Linked DNA regions of Stegostoma tigrinum. The protein of the gene in region 1 purifies or fractionates together with the protein of each later gene. This does not show direct contact. Links are inferred from orthologs where the notes say so. Each region holds a gene or a part of one and is shown in the gene's direction. Other genes may lie near its edges.

Evidence for each region. Proteins that work in one complex are often made in the same cells at the same time.
Region 2: the proteins of kat2b (region 1) and taf5l purify together in Homo sapiens (affinity purification with mass spectrometry; 5 studies listed by BioGRID and IntAct, with this or other methods). This does not show direct contact. The link is inferred for Stegostoma tigrinum from reciprocal best matches to the Homo sapiens genes KAT2B and TAF5L.

The regions. Positions count from the first base shown.
Region 1 is NC_081355.1:106,167,738-106,175,490, forward strand, and holds the start of kat2b (histone acetyltransferase KAT2B), read left to right. Parts: upstream 1-4,743; 5' UTR 4,744-4,875; coding exon 4,876-5,154; intron 5,155-7,753. UniProt on the Homo sapiens protein: Functions as a histone acetyltransferase (HAT) to promote transcriptional activation. Has significant histone acetyltransferase activity with core histones (H3 and H4), and also with nucleosome core particles.
Region 2 is NC_081362.1:15,605,742-15,613,619, reverse strand, and holds the start of taf5l (TAF5-like RNA polymerase II p300/CBP-associated factor-associated factor 65 kDa subunit 5L), read left to right. Parts: upstream 1-4,870; 5' UTR 4,871-5,040; intron 5,041-5,273; coding exon of another isoform or gene 5,274-5,279; exon of another isoform or gene 5,280-5,314; intron 5,315-5,779; 5' UTR 5,780-5,782; coding exon 5,783-5,924; intron 5,925-7,878. UniProt on the Homo sapiens protein: Functions as a component of the PCAF complex. The PCAF complex is capable of efficiently acetylating histones in a nucleosomal context. The PCAF complex could be considered as the human version of the yeast SAGA complex.

The DNA.
Region 1 (7,753 bases):
GCAGTGCATCTGGGAGATAGTACACACTGCTGCTACTGTGTGTTGGTGGTGGAGGGTATAGATTTTTGTGGATATGGTATCAATCAAGTGGGTTGCTTCCTGAAGTTGATCTCATTCGGGCAAGTGGGAATGTTTCATCACAGTCCTGACTCGTGCCTTGTAGGTGGTTGACAGGCTTTGGGGAGTCAGGAGGTGAGCTATTCACTGCAGTATTCCTAGGCTCTGGGCTGCCCTTGTAGCTACTATTATATGGTGAGTCCAGTTGAGATTCTGGTCAATGGTAACTCCTAGGATGTTGACTGTGAGGGATTCAGTGATAGTAACGCCATTGAGTAACAAGGGGCAGTGGATGGATTTCCTCTTATTGGAAATGATCATTGCCTGGCATTTGTGTGGAGCAAATAATACTTGCCACTTTTCAGCCCAAGCCTGTTGCATTTGGGCATGGACGTACTCAATATCTGATGAGTCACAAATGGTGCTGAACAATGTGTAATCATCAGCAAACATCCCCATTACTGATATTATAATGGACAATAGGTTATTAATTAAGCAGCTAAAGATGTTTGGACTTAGGACAGAACTCTGAGGAATTCCTGCAGAGATGTCCTGGGGCTGAGATGACTGACCTCCAACAACTACAACCTTCTTCCGAACAACCCATGGTACACTTAGATATACCCTTGGCCCTTCCCTCTCCCAACCCCACCTCTTATGGTGTATTTATTATCCCTCCTGACCTTCCGTTGTCCAATGCTGAACATTCCATACTCAGCAAAGGTCTCAGTTTTATCCTCTTTGTCCCCACTTGAATGAATTTTGGGCATGACATGATGGATCAGTTCTGAGGAAGGGTCACTGGGCCCAAAACAATAACTCTGATTTCCCTCCGCAGATGCTGCCAGACCTGCTGAGCTTTTCCAGCAATTTCTGTTTTCACCTCTAGCTGTGTGCCCAGGTGTGACTCCAGAAAAGTCAGTAGAGACTTTTCCCCCTAATTCCCAATGACATCAACTTTTGCAAAGGCTCTTTGATGCCATACTCAGTCTAATGTAGCCTTGGGCTGTCACTGCCGCCTCACCTCTAAAATTCACTTTTTTTCCCCCTATTCTAAACAAGGCTGTAATGAGGTCAGGAGCTGAGTGGCCTTAGTGAAACTCAAACTGGGCATCACTGAGCTGGTTCTTGCTGGGCAGGTATTGCTTTACAGTATTGTTGATAACACTTTCCATCAGTTTACTAATGATAAGTAGTAAACTGATGGAGCAGTAATTAGCCAGGTTGTATTTGGCCAGCTTTTATGTGTACAGGACTTTCCTTGGCAATTTCCAATGTTGTCGAGCAGATGCCAGTGTTGTAGCTGGAAGACTTACCCTATGATGTACTGAAATTCTGCCTCTGTGCTATATCAGAAATGGGAAAAGTATCACATCTGGATTTAAAAGAATTGGATTAAATAGGATCAAATCCTTGTGGGCTACAAGTTCTTGTTAACCTGTCATATCCCATCCTGCTTCCCAGTGAACATTGGATTATTTGTGCCATTGAGTTCGGGAATTGCAGATCCATAGTTTCTGTTTTCCAGCGCCAAATATTCTGAATGAAATCTTGCAATTTCCTCATTTATGAATATTACTTCTACTGTATAATTTTTCTGATATTTGTAAATTCAGTTTGTTGTTGCTCAAGTCCTTCACGTCAAATCATTTCCTATATGGAAGGAAGTTGAAGCAGAACTGAATAAATTGAAAAAAAAACTGGCACACAAGTAACTGAAATTGCAGATGATATAACACTTGGTTATTTCTTCCAGTAATCATCCCAAATTCTGGGAATTCACATGATTCTTAAACAAGATTATTACAAAAATAAACTGATTATAGACATAGGCATAGTCCTGTTCAATGTCATTGCAAATTCCTGAAGTTTATAAAGTTTATAAAACTGTGAGAGGCAGAGACAGGTTTGAGAGTCAGAATCTTTTTCCCAGAATTGAAATGTTTAACACTAGAGGGCATGCAATTAAGCTAAGAGGGGGAAAGTTCAAAGGAGGTGTGAGTTTTTTTTTATACATAGTGGGAGGAGTCTGGTCCGCACTGCCAGGGGTAGTGGTGGAGGCAGATATGATAGCGGGATTTAAGCGGCTTTTAGATAAGCACATGAATAAACAAGGAATGGGGAATATGTACCACAGGCGGGCAGAAGGGATTAGTTTAATTTGGCGTCATGTTCAGCACAACAGTGTGGGCCAACGAGCCTCTTCATGTGTTGTACCATTCTATGTTATAGTCAATGATTAAAGAATCATTGAAGACACAGGATCTGGTGTTATGATCGTAGGGAAGGGTGGGATGAATGATAACATTAGTTAGGTTTGGGGATGACAAACTACTTGTAGCAAGAGCAAAAGAACTGTTACAAGTACTTACAGACTGGTAACAGGAGGTAGGAACATTGGAATGAAAATGAATATTGGCAAACAAAAGAAATACCAAATTTCAAAATAACCAAGAAATGTTTATGAATTCATAGAACAACTGAAAGGCTTCAGGTATTCATGAAGCATAATATCTGCAGATGGCAAATGCAACAAAGAAATCTAAACAAGAATAACATTGGGAAAGCCTATATTTTGTAAGGAGAGACAATTGGTAACTGGAAAACAACGAATTACTCAAAAAACCCTTGTGAGAGTTTGATTTGGAATGTTGTTTTGCATTGATACAAAGCATGGACTTTATGGAAGGAGGAGACCTACTTGATAAATAGTTTTAAAGTCTTAGTTTGGAGGAGAATGGAATCGATCTATTGGATAGAAAAAGCAAGTGCTAAGTTTGTGTGCAGTATGAATCAACAAGAAGTTATTGAATGTAATTATGAAAAGGCCGGGTAAGGCATAGTTTAGGAAGAAACAGACTTGTATGAGATGTTATGGAGAGAAAATATCACGGAAAAAAAAGAGTAAGGGAGAGAATATCAATGTGAGATGGCTTGAAAATTAAAGTAAATTATTGTCAAATGAAAATATTGGAACAAAGTAGAATGATGCAGAAAGATTATAAAGAGCCAAGGTTGTGCCTTTGGTAGAGCGCACCTGATGATGATGATGAAACTGACTGTATGTATTTTCTAAGCTGAACTTAAAATCTAGTTATCACTGGCAAGAAATCAATGACAAGAGCTGCTGAACTACAATCAACATGAGGGGTGCTAATGAGTCTTGTGATTATTGAGTATGGTGACCTCATAGTTATGGCACTGAACTAGGTAATATATACAAATACTAGGAAAATTGTGAATTAAGTTTGTACTATGGCAAACTAGTTTCAGCGAATTCTGAAAGCTGCTGGACTACTGCAAAACTCCAACTGATTCACTGGATTGAATAAAATAGGTGTTGGGTTCTGACAAGGGGACTATATGCTGGTCTTAAACCCAAGAATATATGAGGTCTGCTCACCTGCACCATTATCCAACTGTTGGCCAAAAACAATCTTTCTGTGAGAGCTTTGTCCAATTAGGGATGGAAGGAGGACTGTTGAAGCAGGGAGTCCCCACTGACGGAGGTGACTTTCCAATGCATGAAGGAGACCTTGAGAATGCCTCAAAATGAAGGCATCCTCTGTAGGCTTGGAAAACGTTTAAAATAAAGTGTGACTAAATCTGCTGGGTCATCATTGTGGAGGTGGAGTTCCTAAACATGATGACATGCAGTCATGGCTGTAGACCGTCCTCCACGAAATTCCTGCAAGAAACTTGCTGACGTTCTTGCTTTGCAACCTACCTCCACCCCATGGAATAATCCACCCTCTAAAACAGAACTCCTCTCTGGTTTAATTTACATGTGCCTTCACAGTTGACTTTAATTGCTTAGCACATTACTGAACAATAAAAACAATTTTTTGAGATAACTGGGATTGGGCACAAAATGCAACTTTATCAATGTCATTCATCGAAGAAGAAAGTTTTAAACAACTATCTATATTGCTGTTCAATACAATTTGACCAGAGAAAACATACATTTGGAACCATATCCATTGGTCAACGAATAGTAAATAAAATTTACTGATGGTGGAAAAACAAACTAAGCAATTCGGGACTGTGCTGATATTACAGAAATTAAAGATTACAAACTATCCAGGTTTTCAGTTGAATTGCTGGGGTATATTTTAAATTCTATTTTGCATTATGTCCATAGCCTCAGAAAATTTGTAGTTTGTAATAAACTTTTTTTTGCTAAAGAAGCTTTCCATGTCTAAACGTTAGGTCTGTCTTAGCACTTCCTTTTTTAAAAATGTCATATCTGCAGCGCCCACAGTCTTTTGCTTTTATAATGTTGTTTGTTAAATCCGGAGGCAGTACTGAACAATGCCAATTGAACGCACAAGCTTAACGTACTTGGTATAAACAGCCTTAAGAAGGCGCCTCATGTTGAACTAATACAAGCAAAACAACATAAAAGACCAAACCAGTAAGTTATGTTCATTCCTGGCAATTATTATCAGTTTTAAGCAGGTTGATCTCTTGGAGCTGAGTGAAGAAATGTTTAACTGCGCTGCTTGTTTATTTATCCTTTGATTGTCATTGTGTTAGTGTTTCCAGTATGCAGCCATAAATTTTCTTTTGACATGTTGCTTTCTTTTTCTCATTTGAAGTGAATTGAATAAAAATAAGCCAACAGCTGTGTCAGTTTGTGCTCTGTACCGCCCCTGGCGGGGTGCTGCTAAACGCCGTGGACTACATAGTGTACAGGGAGGCAGGGCAATGAGTGAGCTGCCACCACCAGCACCACCGCTGTGGTCACCATTCCAGCCCGGATCACTTCCTTAAAAAAAAGCACAACACAGCTCTGCACGTACAGAGCAGCTGGGAGCCATGGCGGAGAGTGGCGGCGGTGGTGGAGGAGGAGGAGTAGCCGGGTTGCAGCAGGGATCGCCGGCGGTCTGTGTCGTTTCCTCGGACTCGGTGCCTCCTGTGCCGGTGTCGCTGGCTCTGCCGGTTGTCAGCTGCGCCGCAGTTGCAGCGAGCGGCCGTTCCGCCGCCGCGGGAAGTCAGCAGCAGCAGCGGGAGAGGATTGCGCTGAGGAAGGCGCAGCTTCGCAACTACCCCCGGACAAAGAAGCTGGAAAAGCTCGGCGTCTATTCCGCCTGCAAGGTACCCACTGGAACCTGCTGATCTGAGCGCGGGGTGTGGGGGGCGAAACACGGGGCCCGGGCACCCCCAGCAAACAAACTGAAATCTCTTTTAAAACAGGCTCCTCTACGATGAAGTGACATGTCAGAATTAATTTTGTTTTGACTGTATTCGTGTCAGGTCGGCTTGTTTTGCAATAGGGGGCGGGTTTGTTTCGGTATCTGGCACTTATGTGTTGTAAACAATGTTAGGATCGCTACATGCTGTGTCACTTTCTAAAATTCGATGACAGGTTTTATGGTTGTAATGTCACACTCCTGTAATTTTCCCACCTACTGTTGTGGTAAGTCCTGGTGTTAAATGGTGTACTATGAATATTGTCAGAAAAAAGATCAGTTTGACTTTTAGCACTGGTGAAATGCCAAATCTTAGTTGTAAATTGCCAATTTTTGCTCAAAAAAGTGCAACTAAACATTGACCTCTTGTCAAATAATTTGATGTGTTTCTTTCTTTGACTTAGGAACTGTAATATACCTTGCACCCAGATGAAGTGGTGAAAACTGTAGTTTCATCACAGTGATTGTAGCATGTTGCCAAGTCCAGCTGACTGGCTGCATGTACAGCAGGAGGTCCCAGTATGGGCGAGGCTAGTGCACGATACAGCTTGCCTGCATATGTTCTTAAATAAAGTACCAAAGGAGCCGCAGCCTTGAGAGTCGGGCTCCCGGATCCTCTAGATGGAGACCTTAATTAAGAGGGTGAGAAGGAAGAGATGTCGTGTTTCCACAGAGGTCCGAAAGACTACACTACGATTGGAGTGGGAAGACCTAACCATGGAATCTTGCGCTGAAGACAAAAATGCAGTACCACATTCAGAACAGCAGTGGATACTTTGCTGTTATAGAACTTTGTCACATTGATTTTGTGCCTACTGCATGTGTCAGCAGCTTATGGGGCAAACCTGGTGAATGTACTTCAACCGAATGGCCACACGCTTATCAGTCAGGCAGTGTCAGCAGAGCCAGTCATAGGCATCAAGATAACCAAATGTGAAGCTGGATGAACACAGCAGGTGAAGCAGCATCTCAGGATCACAAAAGCTGTCGTTTCAGGCCTAGACCCTTCATCAGAGAGCATCGTCTGATCTCTGCTAGAGGCTTGGACTCAGTCAGTCAGCCATTTGGGGTATTCAGGGACAGGTGTTCCATGTCATTACAGTCAGGGGAGTGGACGTGGTCAGCCTGCTGAACCCGTTTAACCATGCTAGGAATTATTTAATAGAGAATCTGTTCAGCTCCATCAGGTGTCTAGTCACTCAGCAACCAAGGCTGTCTTTTGAAGGTGGCCAGGGATGTGTGCCACAGTCAGCCTGGGGTCTGTCCACTCAAAAACAAGATGTGGGGTGTTAATCAAAGATCATATGAAGAAGTCACAACAGAGGTACCCTCAGGATGTGGAGGAAATGCAGGAGATCTGTCTGTGTCGCCTCCACCAGATGAACAAGGGATGGTGCTAACACTGGATAACGATGTCCAAGGACACTATCACAGGATTATACCAAATATTGTATCGGGACATGCTACCTGATGGGTTGCGTAGCCATCCTATCCCAGTGGCTACTGTTTCGAAGCAGCCACTGCGGACTTGTATAGAATCTCAAATCTTAACCCACAAACATATTAAGGCTGTTAATGATGTTATAGGTGCAATATCACACCACTTCTTGCTTCAACGAAACCTACAGCACAGGATATAGATAGACTGGAGAGTTGGGCAGATGAATGGCAGATGGAGTTCAATCCGGGCAAATGCAAGGTGATGCATTTTGGAAGATCAAATTCAAGGGCGAACCATACAGTAAATGGAAAGGTCCTAGGGAAAATTGATGAACAGGAAAATCTGAGTGTTCAGGTCCATTGTTCCCTGAAGGTGACAACGCAGGTCAATAGGGTGGTCAAGAAGCTATATGGCATGCTTTCCTTCATTGGACAGGGTATTGAGTACAAGAGTTGGCAGGTCATGTTGCAGTTGTATAGGACTTTGGTTCCGCCACATTTGGAGTACTATGTACAGTTCTGGTCGCCACATTACCAAAAGGATGTGGGTGCTTTGGAGAGGGTGCAGAGGAGGTTCACCAGGATGTTGCCTGGTATGGAGGGTGCGAGCTATGAAGAGAGGTTGAATAGATTAGGATTATTTTCATTAGAAAGACAGAGATTGAGGGGGGACCTGATTGAGGTCTACAAAATCATGAGGGGTATAGACAGGGTGGATAGCAAGAAGCTTTTTCCCAGAGTGGGGCACTCAATTACTAGGGGTCATGAGTTCAAAGTGAGAGGAGGAAAGTTTAAGGGAGATATGCGTGGAAAGTTCTTTACACAGAGGGTGGTTGGCGCCTGGAATGCGTTGGCAGTGGAGGTGGTAGACGCAGACACGTTAGCGTCTTTTAAGATATATTTGGACAGGTACATGGATGGCCAGGGAGCAAATGAACACAGACCGTTAGAAAATAGATGACAGGTTAGACAGAGGATCTTGATCGGCGCAGGCTTGGAGGGCCGAAGGGCCTGTTCCTGTGCTGTAGGTTTCTTTGGTTCACATAGTACCAGGCACCCTGGAA
Region 2 (7,878 bases), on another chromosome or scaffold:
TCAAACATATATCTATGGTTACTCAGCATTCCAGAGTCCTTTACCTATGACAATGCCCAGCATGCTTAAACACAGCTGTGCAGATTCCCCCATTCCTTATCTATATATGGTTATACAATTACCAAACTTACATCTATGGGTACCCAGCATTCCAGACTCCTACATATGACAAAATGTACCACATACCTATACACAGTTATATACTCACCGCATCCATTATATATTTACAGTTGCACAACCTCCCAGACCTATATCTATAGTTACCCAGTGTTCCAAACTCCAATATATATAGTACATTACAGCACAGTACAGGCCCTTTGGCCCTCGATGTTGTGCTGACCTGTCATACCGATCTCAAGCCCATCTTAACCTACACTATTCCACGTACATCCATATGCTTGTCCAATGACGACTTAAATGTACCTAAAGTTGGCGAATCTACTACCATTGCAGGCAAAGCGTTCCATTCCCTTACTACTCTGAGTAAAGAAACTACCTCTGACATCTGTCCTATATCTTTCACCCCTCAATTTAAAGCTATGCCCCCTCGTGCTCGCCGTCACCATCCGAGGAAAAAGGCTCTCCCTATCCACCCTATCTAACCCTCTGATTATTTTATATGTTTCAATTAAGTCACCTCTCAACCTTCTTCTCTCTCATGAAAACAGCCTCAAGTCCCTCAGCCTTTCCTCATAAGACCTCCCCTCCATACCATCTCCTGCAATTTTAAATTGCAAACTAAAAATTCACTTCAATTGTCGAGATTTTGGACAATATGCTTACGAATAAACACACTCAGCAGCAACATTAGAATAACTTGCAGCTTGCTCCATGCATGCATTACAAAATTAACCCTACTTAAAAAAAGTTTAAATATATGTGAAGCCAAAACTTAGGTGCAACGATACACTCATTATCAACATGCTATGTCATGAATGCAGTATTATGGAGCTAATGGATAAGTGGAATGGGAACTTATACAGGCAGACTGAAGAGTAGGAAACATGAACAAAAACAAAAAAAAGATGAGAAGACAGAAAATTCAAGGGCAGGTATCAAGGCCAAACTGTGCAAAACACAAACAGGACAAAGTGCACTAAAAAGACAAATATTACGACCTTATGTTTTAATGCATGAAGCATTCATAATAAAGTGGATGATTTGGTCATGCAAATAGATATAAACAGGTATGATGTAGCTGTGACGACAGAGATAGAACATAGAACATTGAAAACTACCGCACAGTACAGGCCCTTCGGCCCACGATGTTGTGCCGTGGAATATTCCTAATCCAAAAATAAAATAACCCAACCTACATTCCCCTCAATTCACTGCTGTCCATGTGCATGTCCAGCAGTCACTTAAATGTCACTAACGACTCCGCTTCCACGACTACCTTTGGTAAACTATTCCATGCGCTCACAACTCTCTGGGTGAAGAACCTCCCTCTGACATCTCCTCTATACCTTCCTCTAAACACCTTAAAACCATGACCCCTCATGGCAGTCAATCCTGCCCTGGGGAAAGGTCTCCAGCTGTCGACTCTATCCATGCCTCTCACTACCTTGTCCACCTCGATCAGGTCACCTCTCTTCCTCCTTCTCTCCAGAGAGAAAAGTCCCATCTCAGTCAACCTCTCCTCCTAAGACAAGCCCTCCAGTCCAGGCAGCATCCTGGTAAACCTCCTTTGCACCCTCTCCAAAGCCTCCACAACTTTCCTATAATAGGGTGACCAGAACTGGACACAATATTCCAAGTGTGGTCTCACCAGGGTTTTGTAGAGCTGCAGCATAACCTCGCAGCTCTTAAACTCGATCCCCCTGTTAATGAAAGCCAAAACACCATATGCGTTCTTAACAACCTTATCCACCTGGGTGGCAACTTTGAGGGAGCTGTGCACTTGAACACCAAGATCCCGCTGTTCCTCCACACTGTCAAGAATCCTGCCTTTAATCCTATATTCAGCATTTAAGTTCGACCTTCCAAAACGCATCACTTCACATTTATCCAGGTTGAACGCCATCTGCCATTTCTCAGCCCAGCTCTGCATTCTGTCAACGTCCCGCTGAAGCCTGCAATGGCCCTCGATACGATCAACGGCACCTCCAACCTTTGTGTCATCAGCAAACATGCTAACCCGCCCCTCAACCTCCTCATCCAAGTCATTTATAAAAACTACAAAGAGCAGAGGCCCAAGAACAGAACCCTGTGGGACACCACTCAGCACTGACCTCCAAGCAGAATACTAACCATCTACAACCATTCTCTGCCTCCTGTCAGCCAACCAATTGTGAATCCAGACAGCCAAATCACCCTGTATCCCATACCTCCTGACTTTTTGAATGAGCCTGCCATGGGGAAACTTATCAAAATGCCTTGCTGAAGAAGTCCATGCACACCACATCTACTGCTCGACCCTCGTCAACTTGTCTCGTGACTTCCTCAAAGAACTCAATAAGATTTGAGAGGCATGGCCTGCCCCTCACAAAGCCATGCTGACTCCCTTTAATCACGCTATGCTTTACCAAATAGTCATAAATCCTATCCCTCAGACTTCTTTCCAAAACCTTGCTGACCACAGACTTAAGATATGGTTGCAAATGACCTGGGATGGGACTGAACATCCAACGGTAATAACCATTTTTATTAAGGGCTGACAAATAGGAAAAAAGATGAGCGCTGCTCATTTTTAGGAGGGAATTAACTCAATGCTGAGGAAGGATTCTAACTCCCATGAAATGGAATCTGTACAGGTAAAGCTCAGAAACACCAAGGGGCAGAAAACAGTTGCATATAGATCGGCAAACTGTACTGGTGATGTTGGGAAAGGCATTAAACAGGTAATTAGAGAGAGATCTAAGCAATAAAAAGGTACAACTGTATTTATGGGCAACTTTCATCTGATTACAAATTGTGGTCTTGTTTCTGAATTCATTAGTGCAGAGCAGGAATTCCTGAAGAAGATGGAATTAAAGACTGATAAATCCAAACGGGGCCCAGAGATCTACACTTTAGAAAGTGGCACAACAAATTGTCCATGCACGAACAAGAATCTTTTAGAGATTCTATAGACTCGAACAGTTCCTCTAAATTTGGAGTGTAGATAATGTAATCCCCCTATTTAAACAGAGAAAAAAGGGAATTACGGGCTAATTTGCCCAACATCGGTACTGGGAGAAATGCTCAAGTCCTTTATGCAATATTTAATAATGGAGCATGTGCGAAAGAAAATTTATGCTTGACAAATCTATTGGAGTTTCTTTGGAGGATGTAATTAAGAGAGTTGGTAAAGGTAAGCCAGTGAATCTGGTGCAGTTTGACTTTCAGGCGTTCGCACCAAGGTCCCACTCAGAGATTAACATGTAAAATTCAAGTGCATTGATGACTGCAAATTGCTCAGCAGCATTCATGACTCGTCAGGTGCCTATTCCCAAACGCACCTCACCAGCCTAAGCTGAGCTGTTAAGTGGCAAGAAAAATTTGAACACCAAGCAGAATTAATTCCTGCTCTATGATGAATGTGTTACACAGAGCGCATTAATGCTCCGCAGCTCAATCCAGGAAGGGTCTCGACCCGAAACGTCAGCTTTCCTGCTCCTCTGATGCTGCTTGGCCTGCTATGTCCATCCAGCTCTACAGCCTGTTGTCTCAGATTCTCCAGCATCGGCAGTTCCTACCATCTCTCGCATCTTTTTATGATGTTTTCAAAACTTCCTCCTCAAAGGCCTCTCCTTCAGCACCAGAATTATTGATCCAATCATTGGAAACGTGAACATCAGTTTCTTTTGCTGACCAACATTTCCTACAAGACCCTAGGCTTGCCCTCTCAATTCTCATGCTCGTCAGGATCAGGTTCCGTAATTATAATGGTAACATGATTCTACTTCTCCACATCATCTCTTGACGTTTTACTTCCTTTCTGGCCCATATGTTCCATATTTCTACTAAACTCCGAGTGGAAAAAGTTTTTCCTCACATCTCCTGTCAATCACTTATTCCTCACAGTAAAGTTACGTCCTTTGGCTTTAAACAAGTTTCCCACAGGGAAATGATTCTCACAATCTACTGTCTATTCATCTCAATTTTGTGTACTTCTATCACACCCCACTCAGCCTCCTGAGGTATCTACCATTCATGATATATATTGTTCCATTATTACTCACAAAAATCCTTCCCTTTGTCCTGATCAGTGTGTGATGTACTAAATTTCATCTGCCATTGTCAGACTCATGTACCAGCCGATCAATATCAGACTGCAGCCCGAGACCCTCACAATCGGCAATATCACCAATTTTATGTCATCTGCAAACTTACTGATGAGACTTTGGGCATTTGCAACCATTATATGACATAGTATACCACATTCCTAAATACACTACCCCATGCCTTCTGTATTTAAAGTTGCACAACCTCCCAGATTTATATCTATAGTCACCCCATGTTCCCAACTCCAACACATATAACATAACGTACCACACATCAACATACAGTCCCCCACGCCTTATATATTTACGGTTACAAAACCTCCCAGGCCTATACCTATAAGTTACCAAGTGCTCTAGGTTCCTATATAAATATATACGTGTCAGTTCCTTATTTATAGTTAGACTCACGGGAGCTATATAGATAAGAGATAACACGGTGTGGAGCTGGATGAACACAGCAGCATCAGAGGAGCGGCTGAGGTTTCGGGCCTAGACCCTCCTTCAGAGCTGGGGAAGGGGGATCTGAAGTAAATAGGGAGATCACAGTCACATCCTACCTGCCGCTCCCCAGCTCCAGGCCGCGGTGCACCACGTGCTTCCCCCCGCCCCGGCACCATGTAACCTCTGACCCCGCTGACCCCACCCTCCTCCCCGCAGCCAATCAACATGAAGCCGAACGGAGGCGCCAAAGCAGCGGCGGCGCCGTGAGGAGAGGCCCCGAGCCCGGGCCCGGAGCCCAGCGCGAACCCGAGGGCGGCCTGAGGCCTGGGCCGTGTTCCTTGTCGGCACACACACACACCCCCCCCGTCCGCTGTGGGAGCCAGGCCGTCATGCAGTAAGTTCCCGGTCTCGGGGCTGGGGGTGGTGCGGGGCGAACGGATCGGCTTCGGGCCTAAGGGAGGCGGGATCGGGTAAAGACCACCCCCCCCTCTCCCCAACCGGGAAACTTACCCTCTACCCGACCCACACCCCCCCTTCCAGAAACATCTCCCGTTTCCCCCCCGCTCCCATCCTGCCTCCCCCGCTCCCTATCCCCTGCCCCATCTCTTGTTCTCCCCCGTTCCCCACCTTCATTTGTCTCCCTACACCAAACCCATCTCCTCCCACTCCCCATCTCTCCTTTTCTCCTAATCGTTCCGCAAGACTCCCACACACCCCAGCCGCAATCATCTCCCTTCACCACCCACATCCTTGCACAGTGGGCGGAAAAGTACTGTTTCAGTTGAGTCTGCAGTTTCAAACCAAAAGTTTTGTTTTGTGCCGCTCAGGATATTGGTGAGCGGAGAAATGGTAATGATGGCTTAGTCGCCTGGACAATGTGACTGGCACAAAAGATACTTTAATAAAGTCTAAGTTACTGTGGATGCTGGAAATCTAAAACAAGCATAGAAAACGCTGTTGAAACTCAGTAGATTTGGCACATCTGTGGGGAGAGGAGCAGAGTCAACATTACAAAACATTAACTCTACTTCCTTCTCCACTGATGCTGCCAGACCTGCTGAATTTCAACAGCATTATCCATTGGTTATAAACGATACTGTTCTTCATTGATCTTATTTCATGTTGATAATTAGACCATGAAACGTGTACGTACAGAACAGATTCAGACAGCAGTGGCTCTCTACCTCCGAAGAAGACAATATGTTGACTCTGATGGAGCGCTGAAGCAAGGACCCAAGTTTTCTCAAACTGCAGAAGAAATGGCAACTAACTTAACAGGTACATCGAAGATAAATTTGAGCAAAAACATGAATCATTGCATCTATTTTATGGATCAGATGTCAGCAACAAGCTGGACAGAGTAAAGCTCCTCATTTAATATGTGGATAGGGTGACATTAAGTGAATGTAAAGAGGCCAGTGTAAAGTGTACACTGGTTGGGAACATCAGAAATAAGTGCAGAATTAGACTGTATGTCTCCGCAAACCTGGTCCAACATCAAAAAGATCAAAGCTGATCCTTTGATAATAAAGTGTGAAGCTGGATGAACACAGCAGGCCAAGCAGCATCTCAGGAGCACAAAAGCTGATGTTTCGGGCCTAGACCCTTCATCGGAGAGGGGGATGGGGTGAGGGTTCTGGAATAAATAGGGAGAGACGGGGAGGCGGACCAAAGATTGAGAGAAAAGAAGATAGGTGGAGAGTAGAGTATAGGTGGGGAGGTAGGGAGGGGATAGGTCAGTCCAGGGAAGACGGACAGGTCAAGGAGGTGGGATGAGGTTAGTAGGTAGGAAAGGGAGGTGAGGCTTGGGGTGGGAGGAAGGGATAGGTGAGAGGAAGAACAGGTTAGGGAGGCAGAGACAGGCTGGGCTGGTTTTGGGATGCAGTGGGTGGAGGGGAAGAGCTGGGCTGGTTATGTGGTGCAGTGGGGAAGGGGAGATTTTGAAGCTGGTGAAGTCCACATTGATACCATTGGGCTGCAGGGTTCCCAAGCGGAACACGAGTTGCTGTTCCTGCAACCTTCGGATGGCATTATTGTGGCACTGCAGGTGGCCCGTGATGGACATGTCATCTAAAGAATGGGATGGGGAGTTGAAATGGTTCGCGACTGGGAGGTGCAGTTGTTTGTTGCGAACTGAGCAGAGGTGTTCTGCAAAGCGGTCCCCAAGTCTCTGCTTGGTTTCCCCAAAGTAGAGGAAGCCACACCGGGCACAATGGATATAGTATACCACATTGGCAGATGTGCAGGTGAACCTCTGCTTAATATGGAAACAATGCCACAATGATGCCCCCCGAAGGTTGCAAGAACAGCAACTCATTCCACTTGGGAACCCTGCAGCCCAATGGTATCAATGTGGACTTCACCAGCTTCAAAATCTCCCCTTCCCCCACCGCATCCCAAAACCAGCCCAATTCATCCCATCCCCCCGACTGCATCCCAAAACCAGCCCAGCCTGTCTCTGCCTCCCTAACCTGTTCTTCCTCTCACCCATCCCTTCCTCCCACCCCAAGCCGCACCTCCCTTTCCTACCTACTAACCTCATCCCACCTCCTTGACCTGTCCGTCTTCCCTGGACTGACCTATCCCCTCCCTACCTCCCCACCTATACTCTACTCTCCACGTACCTTCTTTTCTCTCCATCTTCGGTCCGCCTCCCCGTCTCTCCCTATTTATTCCAGAACCCTCACCCCATCCCCCTCTCTGATGAAGGGTCTAGGCCCGAAACGTCAGCTTTTGTGCTCCTGAGATGCTGCTTGGCCTGCTGTGTTCATACAGCTTCACACTTTATTATCTTGGATTCTCCAGCATCTGCAGTTCCCATTATCACTAAAGCTGATCCTTTACCTCAATTACGTTTTCCTGCACTATCTCTACACTACACCCCATCCCTCGATGTCTTTAATGTCTGAAAATCTATCAGTCAATTCCTGTCAATGACTGAGCCTCCATAGCTCTCTGGGATTGGAAATTCAAATAATTACAAAAGACCTGTTTCACTGCTGTAAAACTTGTAACCATCTCCGACCTTTAAGGCAAGGTCTGGAGGGAGGAGTAGCAATTGGACCAGTTTGCCTTGGTTCAAGATATGGGGTGGCACGGTGGTACAGTGGTTAACACTGCTGCCTCACGGTGCCAGGGACCCGGGTTCAATTCCACCCATGGGCAACTGGTTGTGTGGTGTCTGAGTGGGTTTCCTCCGGTTTCCTGAGTAGTTTTTGCAGACAGGAGGGTG